Struthio camelus: one gene and its partners. The protein of the gene in region 3 interacts with the protein of the main gene of each other region in a pairwise test. Links are inferred from orthologs where the notes say so. Each region holds a gene or a part of one and is shown on either strand. Other genes may lie near its edges. The genes, in order: GEM, CDKN2C and AHCYL1.

Region 1 (7,437 bases), on a different chromosome or scaffold from region 3:
CTTCTAACGGCAAATATTTTGGAGGTGATCAAAGAACTGGATGGGGAGGGGGTATTTTTCATTATATATTATTTTTAAGCATTACATTCTAATAAAACAAGGGCATCTTCTTTTTTTTTTTTTTTCTGTCCCGCACAGAAAGTAGGAATTGACCCTGTGGAGCCAGTGGTGACATATTTTGGACATATGTGTGAGAGCTGAACCAGCCTTTCCCTATAACACAGGCACAGGCAGGAACATAGCAGCTTCCAACAGGTATTTTAAAATGAAATAGCATGAGAAGCTACATTGCTGCCTTGCAGAGGCTTTAGATCCTCATTAGTGAGGACCTTAGTCCTCGTATCTAATTTTTTTTGCTTGTTTTCTTAAGAGAGATAGATGTGTTGGAATCAATTTTGATGATCAGACCCAAGTGTTGGTTACCTCAGTTTCAGGTTAAATGGTCTTGCTAATTTTCTGTGCCTTAATGCCATTGCTACTGACAGGGCTGCCCTCAAGTAAACAAGCGCCCCAGGCCATCATGACCTACCTCCTAGCACCTCACAGTCGCTGTCAATGCTGTCATGTACCCCTGCAAAGATGTTGGCCAGCGACGACTTGCCTACACCGTGTTCCCCGATCAGCACCACCCGGTAGCAATTGCTGCTGGATTCAGAGGAGATGACGGAGTCAGACGACTCCGAGGACCAGCTCCTTCTGTAGTAATCGTCAGGACTGATGGTGTATCGTTTCTGTGCATTGTATTCATTGGAGTCCTTCTGGACCAGCGGGTGCTTTCCATCAGCAGGGATGCTCCATCGCTGCTGCTGCTGCAAGCCACTGTTGTTGGTGCGACGCATGGTAACATTGTTGAGGGTCATTTTTTACCCCTGGTGAGAAACGTGGAAACGACAAACATCACCCACAAAGCATTAGAAATGCGTTAACACCCTCTTCCCAACCTCAGGACAGTATGTAGAACCCTACAGAAGAGCTGGACTATACAACAACAACAAAAAAAGAGGCTTTCTGCACTTCTTTGTTGCTGCTGGTACACAAAGAAATTTCTAGTTAGTGAGTCAGAGCTGCAGCTTTCATCCTAGGGACAATACCACTGTCACATGCTAAATCCCAGCTTTGTGCTTTGCTTAGCTGTTGCAGGCTCACTGCTGTACTAGGTGCAGCGCAGCCCTGGAGATACTGCAGCATTGCTATGTCCCAGGAGGAGAGCAAAGGGGCAACATCTGCCAGCGCTGTCATGCCTGGGAGCCTGCATACAGCTGCATCCTCAGTGAGGCAGCTGATGGGACCCTGTAGGTGCCAGTCCCCACCCTTCATGCGCAACTGTGGGCAGAGGGACCAGCCGCAGTCACCTCCAGTTCCACTCCAGTGGGTGTAAAGGGTGAGCACGGGCGCACCCCACGGCTGCGCCCCATTCCCTACATTCTCCTGGCATAGACAGGCTGGTTCCTCCAGCAATGTCAGCCGTGCACACCAAAACACAGTCACAAAATAAATCCTATTTTGCTTGCAATATCGCTCCCATTGCCTCAGTTAAAAGTTTAATCTTTTGGGAAAGTAAAACGTGCTAGACAGCCCTCATGCTGGAAACAAATGATGCAAGCAAGTCTTGTTATAATGTATTTTGAATAGATTTTGATCTCAGCTATAGCAGGACAAATAAAAAATAGCTATCGCACAGAGTAGCATTTTGGCTGGTAAAAGTGAGGATGCAACCAAGTCCAGTGGCTTTTCTGAGGAGATACTGAATCTGACCTCTAAAGAAGGTATCACTGAGAGTAAAAGCTCATAAAGTTACAGATAGTAAGTCAATAAATTAATTTACCACAAAAGCTGCTCATTCACATTATCTAAGAACGTTTGTTCATCTTACACAGCTAGTTAGCTCACCTTATCTATGCATGGCTCTTAATTACATTTTACTTTGCAAACTCTATTTTGCCTTGGTTGGAAGCAGAGTGCAGTGATGTCATTTTCACAGGCTAACAGCTACCATTTTTAGGAAAGATCCTTTGATATATTCCAGTTTCCAAAGTGACAGTTATTTAGATATTTTACATTTTAGCATATGTCTGATGTTTCTTAGCTCTCTTCTCTATATTAATAAACAGCATATCTGTCTGCACAACGCATCAGACCACTTTCAATAACAAATTTTGAATATTTTGAATAAGAACTAGTGAATGAAAATAATTGCAGCAACACATCAAAAAGACATATACAAATTGTTTTTCCTATCCACATAAAACTTTATGAAAACTTCTTAGAATAAATGTGCAGCAGGTCATAGAACAAATAGGCAGAAAGAGCACACTCTAACTAAACTTATTCCAACTTATGTGATATTTTCACTGTGACGCACAGTACTTTGTGGCAAGATTAGATCATATGCATAGTCTAGTCATAGTAACTTTGCCAGGAAAAAGCATACGTAACTAGAAACCTCGCACCAAACGAAGACTGCTTCACAAACAAAGTGAAGTTTTTCCAGTACTTTAATTTTAAAATCCATTTTTTTCTTGTAGTTTCCCCTCTGAAACAATGCATGAGAAAAGCCACCTCTAATCCAGTCAAACAATGAACAATCACTAAATCACTATCTTCAGTTAACAGTCAATCAATAAATAGTCCAAATCATAAATATTTTATATTTTTTCCCTTAACAAATTATCATCCTTCATTAAACAAATCCAAACAAGAGAAAGTCTTATAACTCACTACTGCACATAGCATTCCCACTTCAAATTATTTTTCATACCACAAACTGCATTTAGCATTAGCTATTTGGTCTGTCATTTACTTATAGTAAAATACTGCATTTGGACCAATGCATTTCAGCCAACACTGCCTTACTTTTGACGGGCTCTTCCCCGCAGTCAGGTCCTTTGCTCTCCCTGCCCTTCTCTCTCAGTGGAGTGTGATACACTGAACTGGTCTGCCAAAGCAAATCCTCTTCTACTTATGGGCTGCCTCTTTAATTCGCTCTCAGCAAACCTGGTTTATATTAAGCCCATCTGATCAGAGACAGGGCTTTTCCGTGACGTGTTTGGCCTTTCCATACAACAGCCAGCCCCCAGCTGGGAGGAAGCGGACACGCAGAGGAGCAAAAACTTACAAACAATCTCAAAAGCTTTCCTTGAAACCATATGATTCCCCTAATGTTGCCAGTAAAATAAACATGTTTGGTTCTCACAAGATGAAGACAGGAAAGTGCAAAAAAAAAATTATATGTGCTGTTTCATCATCACTCAGTTTTTCAGTCAAGTGCTATTAAAATTGATGATGTTTAAAAAATGGCATAAGCTTTATTAATGCATAAAATGCTGCAAAAGTGTTATGTTGTCTCTCTGCAAAAAGCAACTGACTATCTGGTGGATAAATGTTTCTTTGGAATAAAATATCATAATGTTATTTTGAAGATATCTTAAAAGCAGGAGGATTATTCTATTTTTTTCTGAAAAAGAAGTTCTAATACATAAGATCCTATTTTTCCTGCTTCTCTTAGCCTCCAAGTCACTGCATGCAGTTTTCTGAATCTCATAATCAGCTCTCGCTTCTGCTGTAACCCTTTACTAGCAAAGGTTTAAAAAAAACAGCAGACCACAAATTCTGTGTTGCTCCAGCTTGACAGTGGCATAGATGTATCAGCATTAACAAGCACAAAGTCAGAGTAGCATAGTGCTTATGCAGTCCATAGTTTATTAGGAAAGATGAATATATAGTGTACGTGGCGCAAAACAAGGGCCTGCTCCTTAAATTTTAACAAGCTCAAATGTCATTGGCACAAGAAATTCTGCCAGGAGGAAAAAAACTGTAATACTGTGCCACTGGGGGACACTCCTAACAACATAGAGAAGGTACTTCTCGATTAACAGATGAAAAATGAACTGCTTGGTAAGGATGCCACAAGTTATATAAAAGTATATGGAAACTCTATAGTCAGCCCTCAATTATCTAAATTCTGCGTTATCTATGATGAGCTCAAAAACAAGCTCAGAAAATTTTCCTTTATATTTACAATCTCCTGGTTAGTCTGTTGTCCCCTAAAATCAACGTGTGACTGTAATTTTTATGTTGCACTTTAGTTTGAACAACTTGATCCATTTCTGAACAGGGATAAGAATTTTTTTTTTCATGACCCCATTCTTTTCAGTTACAGACAAGTAAGCCTTTAATTAACCATATATCTTTATTAAAGAGAACAGTGATATGCAGAAAAGAATGTCTAGTACTGTTTGGTGTCTAGCACTTATTTCACATACCTCTACATTTTTATGCTTTGATTAAAACCTGTAAACCGACTTGTTTTCCTGTGAAAACATAGACCTTTCACAAATTCTGCATTGGAAATATGCTCGTCTTGTTTCCCCTTTGCCTTTCTTGCATTCCTGTGTCTTTCTTGGGGATTTTCAGGCACCTTCTGAGCCTATTCTCAAGCCTAAAGAGATGAGAGCCCAATAGAGACCATGTCCAAGTACGAGCATATTGCTTTTCCAAAGTATATGCTCATATTAACATACATGGAAATTATTCATATCTACTAACAGAGTACTCAGACAAAACTTACTGCTTGGCAGTAGCTGAGCTGGCCGCAGATCCTGCGTCCCCACTCACCGGTCCTTAGCACAGCAGGCTCTGAGTCTGTTGCCATGTGGTCACCTCAAAGAACACAAAACAGCTCATCCTCTGCGCAGCACATATGCAACAGCTCTGTACAGCATGGCAAAACCCAGCAAAACCTCTGTCAGGGAGAGTTTAGTGTTACCTTTATGGCATGGCCAGCAGTTTCTAGGAGGAACACTTCACTCTTTTGCTGCCTGCATACTCAGCTTCACTTTCAGCGTTGCTCGTTTTTGCAATGTGCTGGAAATCACAGAATCACAGAACGGCCAAGGCTGGAAGGGACCTCTGGAGATCATCTAGTCCAACCTCCCTGCTCAAGCAGGGTCCTCTAGAGCACATTGCACAGGATCGCGTCCAGGCAGGTTTTGAATATCCCCAGGGAAGGAGACTCCACCACCTCTCTGGGCAACCTGTGCCAGGGCTCTGTCACCCTCACAGTCAAGAAGTTTTTCCTCAGGTTCAGATGGAACTGCCTGTGCTTCAGTTTCTGCCCGTGGCCTCTTGTCCTGTCACTGGGCACCACGGAGAAGAGACTGGCCCCATCCTCTTGACACCCTCCCTTCACATACTTGTACACCTTGATGAGATCCTCCCCTCAGTCTTCACTTCCCCGGGCTAAACAGGCCCAGCTCCCTCAGCCTGGCCTCATAGGAGAGATGCTCCAGTCCCCTCATCCTCTTTGTAGCCCTCCGCTGCACTCTCTCCAGTAGTGCCATGTCTCTCTTGAGCTGGGGAGCCCAGAATTGGACACAGCACTCCAGGGGAGGCCTCCCCAGGGCTGAGGAGAGGGGCGGGATCACCTCCCTCCACCTCCTGGCAACACTCTGCCTCGTGCTCCCCAGGAGACCATTGGCCTTCTTGGCCACAAGGCCACACTGCTGCCTCACGATCAACTTGTTGTCCACCAGCACTCCCAGGTCCTTCTCGGCAGAGCTGCTTGCCAGCAGGTCAGCCCCCAACCTGTACTGGGGCATGGGGTTATTCCTCCCCAGGCGCAGGAGCCTGCGCTTGCCTTTGTGCAGCTTCAGGAGGTTCCTCTCCGCCCAGCTCTCCAGCCTGTCCAGGTCCCTCTCAATGGCAGCACAGCCTTCTGGTGGGTCAGCCACTCCCCCCAGTTTAGTATCCTCAGCAAACTCGCTGAGGGTGCACTCTGTCCCTTCCTCCAGGTCACTGATGAATAAGTTGAACAAGACTGGACCCAGCACTGACCCCCGGGGGACACTGCTAGCTACAGGCCTCCAACTTGACTCTGCGCCACTGACCACAACCCTCTGAGCTCGGCCATCCAGCCAGTTCTCAATCCACCTCACCGTCCACTCATCTAACCCACACTTCCTCAGCTTACCTACGAGGATGTGACGGGAGACAGTGTCCAAAGCCTTGCTGAAGTCCAGGGAGACAACATCCACTGCTCTGCCCTCATCTCCCCAGCCAGTCATGCCATCAGAGAAGGCTATCAGATGGGTCAAGCATGATTTCCCTTTCGTCAATCCATGCTGACTACTCCTGATCACCTTCTTGTCCTCCATGTGCTTAGTGATGACCTCCAGGATGAGCTGTTCCATCATGAAGGTGACAGCGTTACTGGAGTACTGTGTTCTGCATCTTGCATCCATTTAGTTCTCTTTAACTTGTCGGTAATTTGTCACTACATATAAAAAAGCAAAACATATCTACCATGGGAATGGAGAGATTTATAGTCAGATTGATCTAAGCAGAACTGTGGGCTCTAACGTCTCACCTAAATGATTAACTTATATCATAGTAGAAAGCACAGACAGTAGAAATAAACCAAAGCACAAAAGCACTTGTGTTTCATTATGGTTAGTCTTAGATCAGGAATTGCTAGACATCATCTTGCATAAATTCTTCATAAAATTCAAGGCAGACAAACGAAACATGGTTTTCTAGTGATCACACAATGTATCTCTTCTATAAGACGGTCCACAGGGATTGTCCCAGCTATGACATGAAGGGCTTGTATTTGGGAAACTTGCACACATATTTTCCCTTGTGTTTTCTTTTCTGAGCCTATTTCCAGTTTTGCCGACTTGACAATTAACTCTCCATGCCTGTTCTAAACTACAATATGCCTCCTTTCCTCCTATAACAAAGATATCAGTCAGTCCTCAGGTAATGTCATCAGTACCCATGAATTCCAATCCTTGTAACTGTGGAGAATTTTTTTTTTTTTACTTTTTTTTTAAGCAGGGGAAATGTGCAGCATCCTAAGCCTGCTGGTACTTACAAAGGATAATAGCAGGATGACTAATGAGGCATATGAATGGAGCCCTTCTCAATAAGGCTGATTATAGGCTTAAATTTCCAAATAGAAGCCAATAGACTGATGGATGCACATGTGGCTCTGGCAGCTCTATCTTCCTGCACTCTTTGCTGGTCAATGGTTCTGTAACTAAAACTGCCTGAGATACAGGCATGAGAAGAGACAAGCATAAGGCCAGGTGCTGTCATAAAGCACAGGAACGCTCAGTGCGGCCATTTGGAGCAATATTAAAACTCAGGGCGACGGCTTTTTACACAACATTGCAGAGTAACAATTAGACCCATAGCAATGGGACCAAAAACTTATTTACATCAGCTTGTATCCATAGCGTTGCCTTTGGCTTTCCTGCTTCACACTCAGTGACTGAGTAAGAAGTTGCACGCCTAGCAGGGGAGGTAAGGGGAGAGAAAGTAATCTGAAATCAGGAGGAGTGAGCTAGGTAAATGAAGGGTTATGAGCCTGGGGAGAGCTATCGAGGGTCTTAATTAAGCTCAGGAGAGGGGAGAGAAAGAGACTCAGGAATTAAGCAA
Region 2 (8,050 bases), on a different chromosome or scaffold from region 3:
TGACACGTGACCAGCCTCCTGTCAAGCGCTCGCGAAGCCGGGGGAAGGGGCGGGGCGGCGCCTTTCCGGCCGCGCGCGCCCCCGGCCGCCGCCGCCGTCGCTCCCGCTCCCGCTGACGGGGCGCGCGCGCGCGCGCGCGGGGGGAGCGCCGCGGCGGGGCGGCCGGAGGCGCTGCTTTCCGGGGAGCCGCTCTGTGCCAGCGGGGCCGGCCCTGGCGGGGCGGGACGGGGCGGGGGGGGGGCTCCCTCCGCGCCCGGCCCCTGCGCGGGCCCATCCCGAGCGGCCCCCGGCGACGGAGGCGCGGAGCGGCGGGGGGGAGGGGGGGAAAGGGGGAACGTCCCCCCTCGAGGGGGCGGTGACAACGCCGCGGCGCGGGGGGAGGCGGCGCGGGGCGGGGGGGGGGGAGCAGCGGGTGGGGCTGGGGCTGGCGGCCGCCCCCCCGGGCTGCAGCGCGGCTCCGGGAGGCGCCTGCAAACGCCGCGGCGGGCGCGTCCCAGCGCGGTTTGCACTTGCTGCGACGGCGCATGACTTCCTGCAAAACCTCCTTTTTTTTTTTTTTGGACCGGGGGCGGGGCGGCTCCGCGAAACGGTGAATTTCGCCCTCTCTGTACTTCCCTCGGAAAGAGTCCGAGCCGTTTTCTGAGCCGACGGAGAGTAACGTGCGCGACGACCCCTCGCTGCCGCTGGCCGCGCGGGGTGCCGCGGCCGGGGCCGCCGCGCTGCGCTAGCGCGGAAGGGCCGGCGAGAAGGAACGCTGCTGGGGGCTGCCTGCCGCCGCGCCCTGCCGCCCGCCCCCTCGCCGCTGGCGTTGAACACGGAACGCTCGCGCTTTCGGACAGCAATTTGCTAATTAGCCCAACACGTTTTGTTCGGCCCTTTGTATATGTTCGGTGGGTGTCCCGGTTACCTAAGGCCAGAAAGGGATTAAGCACCTTTCTTCTTAGTGAAAGCTAAGGGAGCTACGTTATGATATACTCCCTGTGAATCAGGTTATTTTCCCCTCTTTAAGAAACGTAGTTCTCCATTGTTTTTTTCCCCCCTCTACTCGCCTTCGTGAGGCTTATACACGAGTTTTTCAGTCGGTGTACTTCCTGCTGACTACTGTAATTATAGCAACAGGGTGCCAAATAAAAGGGAGACCTGCGGGAAAAAGAAGCACAACTGCACATCACAGCAGAATCCATTAAAAAAAGGGAGCGTGACTTAGGGAGAGACAGCAAATAAACACCGCATGCACGTTACATACAGTAGATGGGTACAAAAAATGTTAAATTGCACCTTCAAGACAGTCCATTTCCCCCAAAAGAATGCTGTAGGTATGGAATTATCTAAAGCTTGCTGCTGAATGCTATTGAGGGCTGTGATCTTCACGATGCATTCGGGTTGCTTCTGGTGGCTGGATAATCACTCCGAATTTCAAGGTGGATTAAAGCTATACTAAAACTCCACTAGTGATGCAAAGCCAGATAAGTTGGATATTATATTGTATCGTATTCCTGCGTTAGTTTATGTTGGCAAGGTTGTGCAAGAGACCTTTATCACTCGCTCATGTTAGCTTAACAGTTCGAGTTTCCCACCACCGAATATATGGATGATAATGTAATTGCTTTCACACCTGCTTTTCTCAGTTTGATGTTACATACAATTCTGTAATATGTACAAGGTATGGTGCAATGCCAGTGACAGCCTATACTAAATTACGAACAAATCCACCCACGCATTACTTGAGAGTAAGTATCATAAAGGCTGAAAAGCAAGTTTTATAAATTGGATTGAAGCCAATTAATTCCTGGCACGAATTTAAACTAAAGTTACGTTGTCAAGGTTAGTTACATAGTGTTCACGTCTACTAAAGTAATATTTTAAATCATAATAGGTATATTAGATCAAAAAAGGAAGCAATTGAACCACAATGTGAAGAAAAGGTGAAAAGTTAACATACCGTACATCACAGGAAGTTCATGTTAAAGTCACAGTGAAAGTTTCTATTATTCTTTTCACAACTCATAACTTCGACATACTCCTCTATGTCTTTTTTCTCCTACAAGTATTACAAAATTATAGAGGGTAAAGTGGGTACTTGCTGACATGACTCATTGCAATGTCCGGTGATAGTATCTCCCTGCAGAAGGTGTTTCAGCCGCTGATTTTGATTCTGACTGAGGTTACACTTTCTGTTTTATGAGGGGTATCTTGATGATTGTTAAAAGGAAGTGACCATAATTCGTGATCATAATATCATGCTTTTTTCTGCAAAGCTCTTTGAAGGACATTAGAAGCAAGTATGATGAAGAATGTTTGATGGCTTTTTCTGGCTGGGCAATTTTACTCGCAGAAGGCCTGCAGCATCCCAGCTACAGTTTAGTTAATTATTTTTGTTATGTAACATGATTAACAGAAGATGGACGCTTCCTTTTTAACTGTAAAACAAAAAAAAAGTAGTAGGGTAGTGTTGCAAGACTTTTAGGACTAATTCTGCACTAAATTAGCAACGAGTAATACCACCAAAACCTTTAGATTTTAGGTACTGATTAGTCACAAAATAGGTCCTTTAAAAGCCGACTGATTCAATATTCTAAGTATTGTATATTAATGCCTTCCTTATGCAAAAAAGTAACTATATTTAAATATATGTATTTCTATATACTTCTATTTCTAGAGTTAACTTCGAGGGGAGTTATAATTCGTATCTTTGTTTACAAAATTCAGCAGTATTGCTTGTGACCGAGAATTATGATAATAAGGCCCTAAAAGTTTCTTCCTTTCTTTCTTTTTTGCATGTGTGGGGCACTTGATAATTTGAGCACAGCTGGATTCTCTGCTTTTTGTGTAGCCAGCTCATAGCTTTTCCCCACGGTGTTTTCACAAACAAGGGGGTCAGCACAGAGAAATGTGACTGCGAAGCAACAAGCTAATCAAAACTTACAGGAGAGTCAGACGCATAAGTAATACCTACTGCTAACTTCCTTTAACTATTTAGATTGCAGGTTGGTCCCTGTAAAACTGGTTATGTCTCTCGCAGTCGTAATTGTAAATCAGGCCCGCGACACGTGCTGTCTCTGCCTTCATGTCCATGGCAGGTTTCTGGGACGGAACTGGGGCGGTGTTTTATGAGCTGATATTATTGTCAAACAGGTTCCCTCCCTGAATTGGCTCATACATGTTTACATTCAAACTAACTTTTCCGTGGTGTCTACACGGACAGCTACAACTGACAGATTACGTATGCTGCCTGGGGAGCCGTGACATTGAAGCCGCGGTGTAACTCGCCTCCCAGGCTGTTAACTATTGCAGAATTCAGCTTTTTCGAGGTCCCCTGAAACTTAAAGCAATTCAGCAAGTCAAGCATTTCAAAGCATTAAATGATGTTAGTCAGAACGGTAATAAAATCTCCATACTGTACCGTCGTTACTTCTTTTCCCTTTGAAGCAGTGAATCCCTCACGTCTTCCTTGTAGTTACGTGCCTTTTCCCCTCAAAATGGCCCTTTCAAATTAACCAAGAACATCAGAAACACGAACAGCAAAGATTTCTGTTCTGCATTCTCGCCTCTCACAGCTACCGCGACTTGACATTGGCCCTTCATCCGTGACCTTGTCCCTGCGGAGCAGAGCCAGCACCGCGGCAGGACCGGACCCTGCCCGGGAAGCCGCCGCCTCCGCGGTGCCGGGCCGGGGCCGCTGCGGGCAGGTGGGCACCGCTCGGCCGCGAGCCCGCGGGACCCCGGGGCGGCGGCGCTGGGTGCCGGGGGAGCGGCGGGGCGCGCTGCCCGCGGCGGCTCGGCCCTCCGCGCTGGCGCAGCGGCTCCGGGCGCTCAAGCGCTCCCGCTTTAGGCCTCGGCAGCGGAGCCTCTGAACCAGCGACCTGGCGACTGCGGCGGCGGCGGGCACGTCCCTGCCCTGCCCGGTCCGCCAAGCGGGGGGAGCCCCGCACGGCGCGGGCCCCGCCGCCGCCCGGCGCGCAGCGTGCGCGGGACCGGAGCCGGGACCGGAGCCGGGGCCTGCGCGGCGGGGCCGGGCGAGGGGCGGGCGCCGTGCAGGCCTTCCTGCCCGCCCGCCGGCCGCGCCGCAACTCCGCCGCGCCTCCTTAAATCTCTGCCGTTAAAATGTGGGCGGGTGTTTCAACTCAAAAAGCGCTCAAATTTTTTTTCTTTTCAAAAAAAGCTGATGAGGTTAAAAAAAAAAGGGGGAAAGAAAAAAAAAAAAAAGAAACCGGCTTCGTGTCCGTAGGAAACAGAAGTAGAGATTGTTTGTGCTTAAAAAAGGGGGAGCGTAAAGTCGCGGGCGGAGGCAGCGATTGCAGACCGGCAAGTGCAGCTTTATTTTGCAAAGTTGAAAGAAAAGGAAAGCCGCTGCTGTCACTGCGCGCCGGAGGCTGCGAGCCGAGGGGCCGGCGGCGGCACAGCTGGTTGGCGGCAGCCGGGGTGCCGCGCTGCCCGGGCCGCCCGCGCCCGCGCGGCTGCTGCGCGGGCTGCGGCTGCCCCGGCGCAGCCTTTGCCCTCCGGGCGCTCCCGGGAGCCGGTCCGCCTCCTCCTCCTCCTCGCCCGCTGCTCGCACACACCGCTCCCCTTCCTCGGCGCGGCCAGCGCGCTCGGGACGGCGGCAGCGAGAGAGGCACCACCACACCGGGGAGCGCCGAGCCGCCCAGCGGAGCGCCGAGCGCCGGCCGCGGGGCCCGGCCGCGCCGCGGAGACGGCTGCGCGCCGGCGGCGCCGCGGCGGCTCCGCGCCCTGAGCGCGGGCGGCGGCATGCGGCTGCCTCTGCGCCGCCGCCGCCGCCAGGCCGCCGCCGCCGCCCGCGGCCCCGCCGGCCTCCTGGATGCGCCGGAGCCGCCGCCGCCGCCGCCCGCCACCGCGCCCGCCCGCTGCGCCCGGGCTCCGCCAGGACGCGGGATCGACGCTGCTGCGCGAAGCCAGGAGCGCCGGGGCCGCCGCGCCGAGGGAGCGAGCGCTGCGGCCGGCCCCGCCGCCGCCCGCCGGCCCCGCCGCCGCCCCGCGCGGCTCGCCCTGGAGGCGGCCGTGCCGGCTGCCAGGGGGCATCCCCCCGGGCATGGACGCGCGCCGCTAGAGAAGACTTTTCTTCGGAGCTGTTGCTGCTAAGTCTCGCATCCCGACTGTGAACAGGGTGGGTTGTTTTCTTCTTCAAAGATTTCAGGGCTGACTCAGGCTCCAGGGTACGTGTATATATGTTACATATAACATATATCATATATTTCATAGCTTTTAATATATTTCCCTTTAAACTGGCCAAAGTCTTTAATAGGAGTTACTCTATATGTGGAAGCGAAGAAATCTTCTTTCAAGTGGAGCTGCAGTTTTGCTGAATAATCACGTGTGAGTTAGGGGCGGGCTCTTGGCAAGGAGTTTTTTTACGAGTATTTACTACAAGGTCTACTCCAGAAGATTAACCATCCCAATCCTTCTGTCAGTCTCCGATGCCATGCCTGGTTAAAAAAAAATCTCATCTTTTTCCGATCGTCAGTCACCCTAAAGAATGGCCGAGCCTTCTGGGAACGAGCTGGCGTCCGCGGCTGCCAAGGGGGACCTAGTGCAACTTACTAATTTGTTGCAAAAGAATGTAAACGTCAATGCACAAAATGGATTTGGGAGGACTGCGCTGCAGGTTGGTATCCAGAGAGGGAGAAAATATTTCATCACTGCTACCTACGTGACCCGGGTTTCCAAAAAGACAACGTTTTAAACAGGCTGGTGGACGAAATTCGAGTGTTTTTTAAAGTAGTTGGATGCCATATTTTATAACTTTAGTGGCTCCAACTCCCTAAAATGACGTACTTGAAATAAAACTGGTCAAAACCATTATTTCAGTCGGGGATCACCCTCAATGTCAAACGGGCTACAAGTTTAATAATATTTTGTAACTTAGTGGGGAGGAGGCAAAGAATGGAAGAGAGGAGATGAAAAGAAATCATCTTAGGTGAGCAGGATTTCAGAGCAGGTCTGTAAACACATCTGTGTTACTATTTGAAGCTTAGAGTTATTTTTTGTTCCCCCTATAGTATGCTGTTAAAACATTGCTTTTCTCGATTATTAGTTCTGCGGTAGATGGTACTTTTCCTTTATACGCTGTTTGTGACGAATGACCTTTCTCATTTCGAAGCTGCTACACAGAATCGAGTACCTTAGATGTACATTCATAGCTAGCCGAATGAGTTACAGCTCAGTCTGAATCACTTGCCTTTTCATTCATAATTAAGGCTTAAATATTTGAATTTTTAGATCGGATGGCAAGGCATTGCTTCCAGCTATTTCATTTCTGATCGTATAGGGTCCTCTGTCCTAATTTTTAAGTGGGTAGCTGTGCAGACAGGATTTGGAACTCATCCAGCTGCTAACTATTGGAGCTGATGAAAGATTTCTCTTTTCATAATATCAGATAATGATGGCGAAAATGGTAGAATGCATACAAAATAGTGAAATAAGTGATTTATAAATCAGGAGGAAATGTGTGGTTATTTATATACTTAAGGGAATGTAAAGAAATGTGGAAGTAGAGCTGTGGGACTTTTTAATTTCACACATTAGAAAAATCGTTTCTATTAACTCCTCTCTCCCCCTCCCCCGAAACCACGATATTCATTTCTGAAATTTTGTTTTCAAAAAGCATGTAGCTTGCGAATGCGCTCGAGATATTTACAGGTTTTTGGCTTACCATCAAAATGTTAGACCTCGAAAATAAGCACCTCTTGTTGTAAAGCAGTACTGACCCTTGTTTGACAATTTCACCTAAACTCGAGAGCTGTAAGATTATCTTTGCACTGTTATCACCTAAATAGGACATCGTATGACAGTGCAGACACTCGCAGCAACTTTTAGGAGCAGGGAAGGATTTAAATTAGAAACTTGTACAAACTAACTTTTTTTAAAAAGCAGGAAACATTTAGCTAGATGCTTTATCCTCCAGACGGGGGCTGAAAACCGAATGGTACTACAGTAATGTATTTTGCTAAAAGAAACTAAACGTCCGTGCCCTAAATTAAGGAATATTTTACACAAGGACAGAGCATTCAGCTATATTAAACACGCATCTGTGTACTAACAATACTTTTTATTGCAGCCTAATCATAACTGAGTTAAGGAACCGCAAACAAAAATCAAAACAGAAGAATCTGTCTACTTATTTTCACTATGTATCATCCTGAAATGTGTTGTGGGTGGGTGACCACGCTCGAAAGGGTTCTCTGTCAATACAACCTCCAAAATCGAGATAATCTCTCAATAATCTCTCTCTCACTCACAACAGAGAGAATGCTTATTTGTTAATTCAAATTAATATCTAATTTTCTTCTGGATTTATGTTTAATTGGACAAGTGCTTGTCTTCCTCTGTACTTTTTTTTTTCTGATGAAGTGTACCTATGCAGGCCTCAAATGCAAGTCCTGCCCTTACGCTCTTCATCAGACTTATTCAATAAATACTTTCTCCTTCTTTGCCTCCCCCAGCCAAGTGAAACTTTTCAAAATAAAGGGCATTTGCGGTATAGTTGTATCCCACGTCCAAATAGCATCACCTTTTATAAGGTTTTCTCCCCCCCCCCCCGCATCTTTAAATTAAGCCTTCAGTCCCCAAACCTGCCTTCCTTGAACACATAAGTGGCAGTTGCCACTTGAACCAAATACATGTTTTGAATACACAAATAATACAGCCTGGGCCCTCAAAAAGAGACAAAAATGTCTAGATTTATCAAAGAAAGAGAGAGCACAATGCTTTTATTTTCCTTTACATCGCTTACACCTCTTTTCAGAATTGAAAAAATGGCACATAAACATGCACGAAATATTGTGCCCCAGATAAATGTCTTTCCCTGAATCCCATCCTGTCTTATCTGTAGTTTTATTCCTGTCTGTAGATGCAATATAATGGGCTACTTTACATTCTAAATGCTACAGTAATTATATTTACTATAGGTGTGTCTTTATTACAAAGCCTAATACATATTTTTCATTGAGAACAGTATTTCAGCAAATGCCTTGTGCAAATTACACATGTTAAATATAATGCACTGTAATGCTCTTTGTGCTGATAAAAGATTCTT
Region 3 (7,812 bases):
AAGGGAAGCTGTACCCACTTCCCCGACGGCTGCGGGATCCTCACCCGAATTACAATGCGGCCTGTTTGACTAGCTGGAACATCACGTCCCCGGCCACCTAAGTTCTTTGGCTGTCACCAACCTGAAGTAAACAGATTCTGCAGCAGCAATAAGCTCGTTACCAAGGCCACCGTATTGATCCCAAAATGTAATTAAAATTCACAGTTCAAGCAGCCCAGTACGACAGGGCAAGCGGGGCGGCCTCCCAAGGGCATGAATAGCCACAGCTTCCGCGTCCCGCTTTCCCAGAGGCAGGGAGCCCCCGGGGTCAGCGAGGGAGGAGACCAGACACACACCAGCCTCAGCCTCCTGGGCTGCTCAGAAAACACCCCAAACGGCAGCCCTCTGCTTGCACCACCCACTGAGACATCCAAAAGCACCCATTCCCCATGTCCTGCCCCGTTGAGGGTTAACCACATTGGGGGAGCATGTCGTGATGACGTTCAGCCCAAGGTTAAAGGGGTATGGTGCAAAACAGGCTGAATCAAAGGGAGATGGTCAAGATATAAACATGACCCAAATCGTGGGACAGAGCCGTTCAGATACTGTAGAGGGCTTTGATGGAGGGGCTCTGGAGTACCCCACCGCGGTGATAACAAGATGGTCCTCCTCACCAACTCTCCTCTGCAGGACTCCCTGACCTTCCTACGCTGGACCCAGCCTTCCACTGATCCAATCCGGTCCCTTAACTCACTGATAAAGGGGGATCGGGCCAAGCGGTTATAAATTGCAGAAGCATTAGCTCAAGGTCCTTTGCACCCATTGCTCTACGGCACCAGCAGCAGGCTCTAGCACAGTCACCTCAAACGTCACCACAATCTGCTCAGTGAACGTGAGTCAGAGTCCCCAGATAAGCAGCGCTAATCAAAGAGCTCCACAGGAAACGCAACAAGCCTTCTGCAAACGGGAACGTCGCCACAGGAAACTCCTAATGATAAAAACACAGTCAGGCACAAGCAAGCCTCCTCCACTGAGTGCTGCTCAGAGCAGGCAAGTCCCACTCTTCCTCTTGCTCAAACACCTGGGACAATCCACTTGCCGACCCCTTGGAGGAACCACATGAGTAAGATCCTCACCTGCAAAGCTCTCTGTTTAGCCAACCAGTTATCTGAAAGGGTCAACTCCAACCCAGCCCTGAAGGGCTTTTTCCAGAGCAAAAAAACCAACCTCAAAGCACAACCTGTAGCAGGGAGCACAGAACAGACTCCAACATTTGCACAGGCTGGAAAAGAAGAATGGTGAAAACTGTCAGGGTCCCAAAGAAAGTATTGTTATAGGCTGGTCCCTGGCACAAGACAATCTCACATTTTGGGAAAGGCCTCAAGAAAACACCACTCTTCTGTCATCAGCCCACTTCCCATGCTCCAGACCTGGCGGCTCACATGGAAAGGAGATTTCCACCAAGAAATCTCAAAGCCCAGACTGGAAATGGAATGGGGCAAGTAGGACAACCAGCACTGTTCAGATGGGCTGACCCCAACTCCCACACAACTGCAGCTGGCACCACTAAAACAAGACAAGAGCTGCTTCTGAAGACTACAGGGAATGAGTAGCCAACTCCTTTCCTATCTCCAAAGACCAGACATCAGAGTGGAAACCGAGCCTACCTCATGCGACTGCAGGAGGAGGAGAACAGAGATGCAAAAAACCATTTGCCATGGCACGTCATTTTGAAGATGGCTCATTTTCGGTCAGATCCCCAAAAGCTCCTTTCTTCCTGCTCTTCAGTTCAAGGAGAACTTAAATCAGCATCTTTTGGTCTTGCAGCAGGGCTGGGTCACAGGGACAGACCTCCCTTACTGACAGCAGCGAGACTCTCCAAGAAGTCAGAGTGCTGAGAAGGACCCAAGGGGAAGAATGACTTAAAACATAAATAATTAAGATTTGGTCATTTAACACAGCACCACCAATGACCTGTCTGCTTCCAGCGCCCAGCAATTGCAAAGTAAATCATCTTAGCTCAAAACACCCTTGTGGGTTGCACTCGCCATGGGTTAGGGATACAATCAGGTCAGGCTTGAGCTGATCATCTAACCGCAGCAATGCGTTCACATATTACTGCCTTTTTGCACCCCAAGAAAGGCCAGATCTATCCCAGATGGTGTGTGAAGAGCAGAATGATCCCTTAACAACATCCCAGCCTAAGCAGCTCATTGTCAAAAGGAAAACCTGCAGGGAGACGAGAAGAGGGTGAGAAATCAAAATACCATAGAGGATTTGGGTAAGGAGGTGACAATCACATGCACCACTAAGCAACCAAGCAAGGAGATGGTGGGACAAGCACCCAAAGGCAGAGGAAGATTTACAAGCAGTCTGTCCGCTTAAGGGATGAAATAAAAAAGAGAAAAAAATAAGCAACTCTAGAAGCTCTGTCAGAATAAACAAGGACAACCTTGTCCTCCTGACAGATCTAAGGCAAAGATAGACTCATTAGCACCCTGCCTGAGAGAGCAGAACCGCAGAGACCTGAGACAACCTGGGACTAAGAAAAAAAAGGCAGAAAGCCCAGCTCCAGGAAGGGGCTGTGCAAGGAGCAGGGACAGAGCAGACTGCAGCAAGGTCAGACACTGCTCAGGCAGCGAGAGTGCAGCTCATGCAGGCGACCTTAAAAAGCAGCAGCAGAGATGATGCTTTGGGGAAGGCGGCAAGCCCTTTCCAGAGGATGGCAATCCTCCTGTCAGCTCCCCAGCTTTTCCCTGCCCCGTCCCCTTCCCCTGCTCCCATCTCGTGCCACCCCTGCATCCGCCAGCACGCGGCTCCGGCTCGGTACCACTGCAAAGCCGCAGCACGGTGCATTAGCATTCTCCTCTGCACCGCCAGCACACAGCCTCAGCGGGGCTCCTCTGACGCCAGCATCCGCAGGGTCGCGGCGACCAAACCCGCAGAGCCCGCGCCGTTTGGCCCCCGGCCGCGAACCATACTGAAACGCAGGCGACGGGCTTGCCGGCTTCGCGAGGCACACGGGGGTGCCGCGAAGCTTACGCCTCCCCGAGGGCAAATTAGAGGCTGGAGCCCATTTCACGCTCCAGCTCTGCTGCATGAATAAGCAGATCGGTGTGCAGAGCCGGAGCACGTCCGTCTGCCGGCACCCAGGTGCGAAGGAGCAGGCGAGGAGGGGGGCACGCACCAGGGGACCACAGTCCGGACAGACATTGCGCGCTCCCTCTGCTTTGACACCGTCATCCAATCTCACGGGACAGCGGACGCCACGCGACAAGGGTACAGCCCGGCTCGGGCACAGTGACAGACAGGGACAGGGCTTGTAAAGCCCCTTTGCTCTGCCATCAGTCTCTAGGCACAGTGTCACATCGCGCCCCGCTCTAGGGCACACGTAGCTCAGCTCGGCCGGGAGTTTAAAGGCTCCGCTGACCGGCTGATTTGACAGCAGTTGCTTTCCAAATCCAAGGGCACCTCCAGAACTCCAGGGAGACAGAAGAACCGATGCCCAGATGCACTGGTGATGGGACCCGGGGATCTAGAAGAGCACACCCTGCCCTTGAGCTCTCCTTTCCCTGCTTAGACGAACCCATATTCACTTCTCCCTGGGCAAGGCACCCCAAAATTGCTGGTTTCCAAAATCCCCCAGCAACATCTAGGCACACACTGGAGAAAGTAAAAGGCTCAATATCGCTCACCTCTGCCTTCAAACCACTCTCTGCCAAGGAACCGCCTCACTCTGACCAAAGCTGGTGTTATTTTGCTGACAGCCCAATTTCCAGTAAACTGCAGCAAAAAGGGAGCTTCGGCACAGCCAGACAACCCCAACTCCTGGAGGAAAACTGACCACATTTCTGCAGAAAGGCTACAGCTCTCTTCCCCTCAACTACTTTGGCTCCTACTTAAACCCGGAGTTGATCGCGTTTAATCTCTTAATCTCTTACCTCCTGCTGTTTCACTTTTTCACCTTAACCAAGTCAATGACAAGAGGGAAAATAAATATGTCAGAGATCCCCCGGGCTGGTTACGTAGCTCACAGGATCGCTCCAGGTGCCTCCAGGGCAGTGTAGCAAAGGCCAGGAGCACGGTGACTTCTTCAGAGGACGCACGGGGCCAGCGTGCCCTCCGGCTACATCGGAGACCTTCCTCTAGGGCCGAGCTGGGCTCTGACTTCGGGAAACCACAGCATCAGCTCCCCGGCGCCGAACACGGGACACTCACGGGCTCCTCGCGCCAGCTCCTCTGCAGCGCACTGGCACTTTCTGCAAGCGCTGACACAAGTTAAGGCTCTTCTTTGAAAAGCTATTGAGCAGGGCACACAAAGGAGCCGAGCCTGCGCTAACCTTGGACGCGTTCCCTCCATCTCCAAAGCCTTATGCAAACTACATCGCCAAAGTTCAAGGAACCAAACACCGAGCCGGGACGCTGCTTCAACAGCGCTCCGCGATTCCCTCTACCTCCACGCAGGTAAACTAATCTGTCTCGACCATCTCTGACCGCGCGGAGTGCTTCAAAGACAGAAACACAGCAAGTGCGCAAGTCACTTTGACTCACATTTAAACAAAAAGAGCATTTTAAGGGTTTCACGGTGATCCTGCTTTGAAGACATAGGAAAACGCCTTGTGCTGGGGGCACTCAGCAGCTTATCTCAGGAGGGCAGTTCTCCCCTCCTCGTCCTTTCGTTCCCCTGCCAAGGCCGCCGCACTGACTGAGCGCTATTCACAGTAACTAGCCAGGCAAGGAAAACAGCGGCCCAAAGCGTTTTGTTCCTTGACCTCAGCTGCATCGCGCACTCCCCAAGATCGCACTGCCTGCTGATGTTATCAACCTCAAACAACTTGCGTTGCTCTGGGCACCTTTAATAGCATCACCCAGACGGGAAAGGCTGCAGCAGCCACAGTCTGATGGTTGCTCTTCGGCTGTGAAACAAGCCTGTAAGCACAGCAACTTCAAGGGGGTAATGCAACACCCCTTATCCCCACAGATACGAGCAAAGCCCATGAGGGTGCTGGACTGATTCCCTCTCCACACGCACGTTGCTTTCCCTTCTGCTACTTGTATTTTGGCCCTGTAAGATACTTGAGCAGTAGTAGTTCGCTCTTCCTTCTCAAATCACCTGGCTGGTAATGTTCACACAGCCATAGACTCGCGCTTTTAACTAAACAGCTCTTGTGGAAGATGTTGACGATAAAAAGGAAAGAAAAAAAAAATCGCCCGAGTTTGAGCCATGTCTGGCTGTGCCGCCGAGCCACCTCTGGGAAGAGGCAGATCCCAGCTCCGCATTCCTCTGCTCCTTGCTCCAGGCGACGTCCACAGGCCGGATAAACACACGCAAGGCGCAGGGAGACCCACCAGGCCCTCCGCTCCCTGGCGGCCGCGCGCCAGCCCGAAAGCCGGGACGAGGAGAGAGAACCCAAACGCAGCCGACTGTCAGCGGCCTTTCCACAAGGGCCTACCGCTCCCCTAATCCCACGGCTCGCCGGAGCAAAAGACGCATCGCCCGGAGAAGGAAGACATTTGCATTCGCTGCGACTGCTCTGCCCTCGGCTCCCAGCTCCGAGGCACGCGGCTGCAGCCCCGGGGAGAACGCAATGTTCGGCACGGCAGGGACCTCCGGGTACCCGCGCGGCGCCTCGCGGCACAAATCCACCGCGCTGGCAGGAGCCGCGACTTCAGCGGCCCGTTAGTGAAGCTCGGCGCCCAGCTAGGCAACGGCACGCAGGCGTCCGCTCGCTCTCGGCCGGCCAAGCACCAGCCGATCTAAAAGCCGGGTCCTGCTAAAACAGCCATCCGACTTCGCAGGCAGAGCTCACCTGCTCGCAAGCCCCATCCGGGTGCACGCTGACGGTTATGCAAGCAGGGCTGCTGTTGGCTGGGGGGCAGCCCAGGGAGATTTTGGGAACTCCTTGGAGAAGGTCTTTAAGGATGAAAGGGTGAAGAAGCGACGTGGGAGAGCTCAGAGCTGGGGGCTGCTCTGGCAGCCTCTGTCCCAGCCCAAACATGATCCCACCCAAGCCTCCAACGAAGCGCCCCGTCCCCAAAAGTTCAATGCTCTGAATTTCCTATTGCTGCCCTTCAGGGTGACCTACAGGAGGATCCCCAGGTCACCGCAGCCAGCTCGCTCCATTTAATGGGTCCCCCCAGCCCCCTTCCACCTGCACTCCTGCCCTGGGGACACCCTCGAGGCACCCTCACGCCGTGGGGTGCCCAGGACCCCACCAAACCAGCCCCTCTGCTCCTCCCTCGATTCAGCCAGCCCAGCTCCACGGTGCTGAACAGGACCCATTGGTGCTGCCCTCACCCTGGTACCAGCTGCCCTACCAGGGCTGACCCCAGCACCTTCCAGATGAGGCCACGCCACACCGGGCCACGGCTCCCCACGCCGCTGGTACCGGTCCCCCATCAGCACCTCCCCTGACCCAAACTGGGCCAGGGCCGTATCCCAGTACAGGCCCCTCAGCACCGAGTCTGCCCCCCTCAAACTGGGCCAAGAGCCCCTTTCTGGTACCAGCTGAGCCCCAAATGGGGCCAAACATGGTTTCCTGGTAGCAGCCCCCTCTGAACCTGGTACCTGCTTCTCTCTCCCCTGTTGAATGGGGTCAGGTCCCTCTTTCCAAAACCCTCAAGCTGCACTAGGTGCCCCTTTCCCAGTACCCTCTTCCCAACTGGACCAGCCCCCTGTTTCCCAGTCCAGCCCCCCTAAGAAGTGGGCCAGCACCATGGCCTGGCCACCTTGAACTGGGAAAGCCCTGGCCCTGCTCCCCCATGAACCAGGACAGACCCCGCTCCCCGGCCCGCGACAGACCCTGCTACCCATCCTCCCCTCCCCGGCCCCGGCCCGCCACGGCCCCCGCTCCCCGGCCCCGAACCGGCCCCGGCCCGCCACGGACCCCGCTCCCCGGCCCCGAACCGGCCCCGGCCCGCCACGGACCCCGCTCCCCCCCGCCCCGAACCGGGCCGGCCCCGATGCTGCCCGCCGGTACCTTCTTGGGCGCCTTGGTGACGGTGGCCATGAAGGAGTACTTCTCGGCGTCCTCGATCTCCTTGGCCTGCTTCACCTCGTCGCCGCCGGCCGAGTCCGGTACCGACATCCTGCGGCGGCGAGGCGGGCCGGGGCCGCGAGCGGCGCCGGGCGCGGAGCGGAGGGGCGGGGAGGGGCACAGCGCTGGGCCCGGCCCGGCCCGGCCCGGCTCGGCTCGGCTCGGCTCGACCCGGCCCGGCCCGGCCCGCTCCGGTGCCGCCGGCTCCGACCACTCTGCGGCGCGGACCTGCAGCCGCCGCGCTCGGCGCCAGGGGCGGAGCTGCCCGCCGCCGCGACGTCAGCGCGCCCTGACGTCAGCACGCAGCCGCCTGGCAGCGAAGCCGCACGCCGGGGCCGGGCGGCGGCGCGGCGGCGCCCCCTGGCGGCGGGAGGGAGCCGGGTTTGGGGTGAGGCGGGAGGGAAACGGGGAACCGGGAAAAGAGATTGCAACCGACGCGGGAAGAGGAGCGCAAACCAACGGACGGGCGGCAGGCGGGGCAGCGGGGACACGCGGGGACACGCGCCCGGTGACACGGGGACACGCACACACAGCCGGGGCACGCGGGGACACACGCACACACACGCGCGTAGCAGTGCGCACACACACACACACAACCGGCGCACACAGCAGCACGCACAACCGCACACATAGCAACACACACATGTGCAACCGGTGCACACAGCAGCACGCACAACCGCACACATAGCAACACACACACACACACACACAACCGGTGCACACAGCAGCACGCACAACCACATGCACAGCACCATGCACACACAACCGGTGCGCACAGTGGCACGCACAACCCCAC

What was found.
Region 1: the proteins of AHCYL1 (region 3) and GEM interact in binary tests that used the Homo sapiens proteins (3 or more experiments, as listed by UniProt). The two-hybrid records come from large-scale screens. The link is inferred for Struthio camelus from reciprocal best matches to the Homo sapiens genes AHCYL1 and GEM.
Region 2: the proteins of AHCYL1 (region 3) and CDKN2C interact in binary tests that used the Homo sapiens proteins (3 or more experiments, as listed by UniProt). The two-hybrid records come from large-scale screens. The link is inferred for Struthio camelus from reciprocal best matches to the Homo sapiens genes AHCYL1 and CDKN2C.

What each region holds. Positions count from the first base shown.
Region 1 is NC_090943.1:149,190,506-149,197,942, reverse strand, and holds the start of GEM (GTP-binding protein GEM), read right to left. Parts: upstream 3,002-7,437; 5' UTR 2,854-3,001; intron 870-2,853; 5' UTR 861-869; coding exon 530-860; intron 1-529. UniProt on the Homo sapiens protein: Could be a regulatory protein, possibly participating in receptor-mediated signal transduction at the plasma membrane. Has guanine nucleotide-binding activity but undetectable intrinsic GTPase activity.
Region 2 is NC_090949.1:30,975,690-30,983,739, forward strand, and holds the start of CDKN2C (cyclin-dependent kinase 4 inhibitor C), read left to right. Parts: upstream 1-4,976; 5' UTR 4,977-5,122; intron 5,123-5,479; 5' UTR 5,480-5,491; coding exon 5,492-5,620; intron 5,621-8,050. UniProt on the Homo sapiens protein: Interacts strongly with CDK6, weakly with CDK4. Inhibits cell growth and proliferation with a correlated dependence on endogenous retinoblastoma protein RB.
Region 3 is NC_090965.1:4,283,218-4,291,029, reverse strand, and holds the start of AHCYL1 (S-adenosylhomocysteine hydrolase-like protein 1), read right to left. Parts: upstream 3,095-7,812; 5' UTR 3,080-3,094; coding exon 2,810-3,079; intron 1,843-2,809; exon of another isoform or gene 1,725-1,842; coding exon of another isoform or gene 1,647-1,724; intron 1-1,646. UniProt on the Homo sapiens protein: Multifaceted cellular regulator which coordinates several essential cellular functions including regulation of epithelial HCO3(-) and fluid secretion, mRNA processing and DNA replication.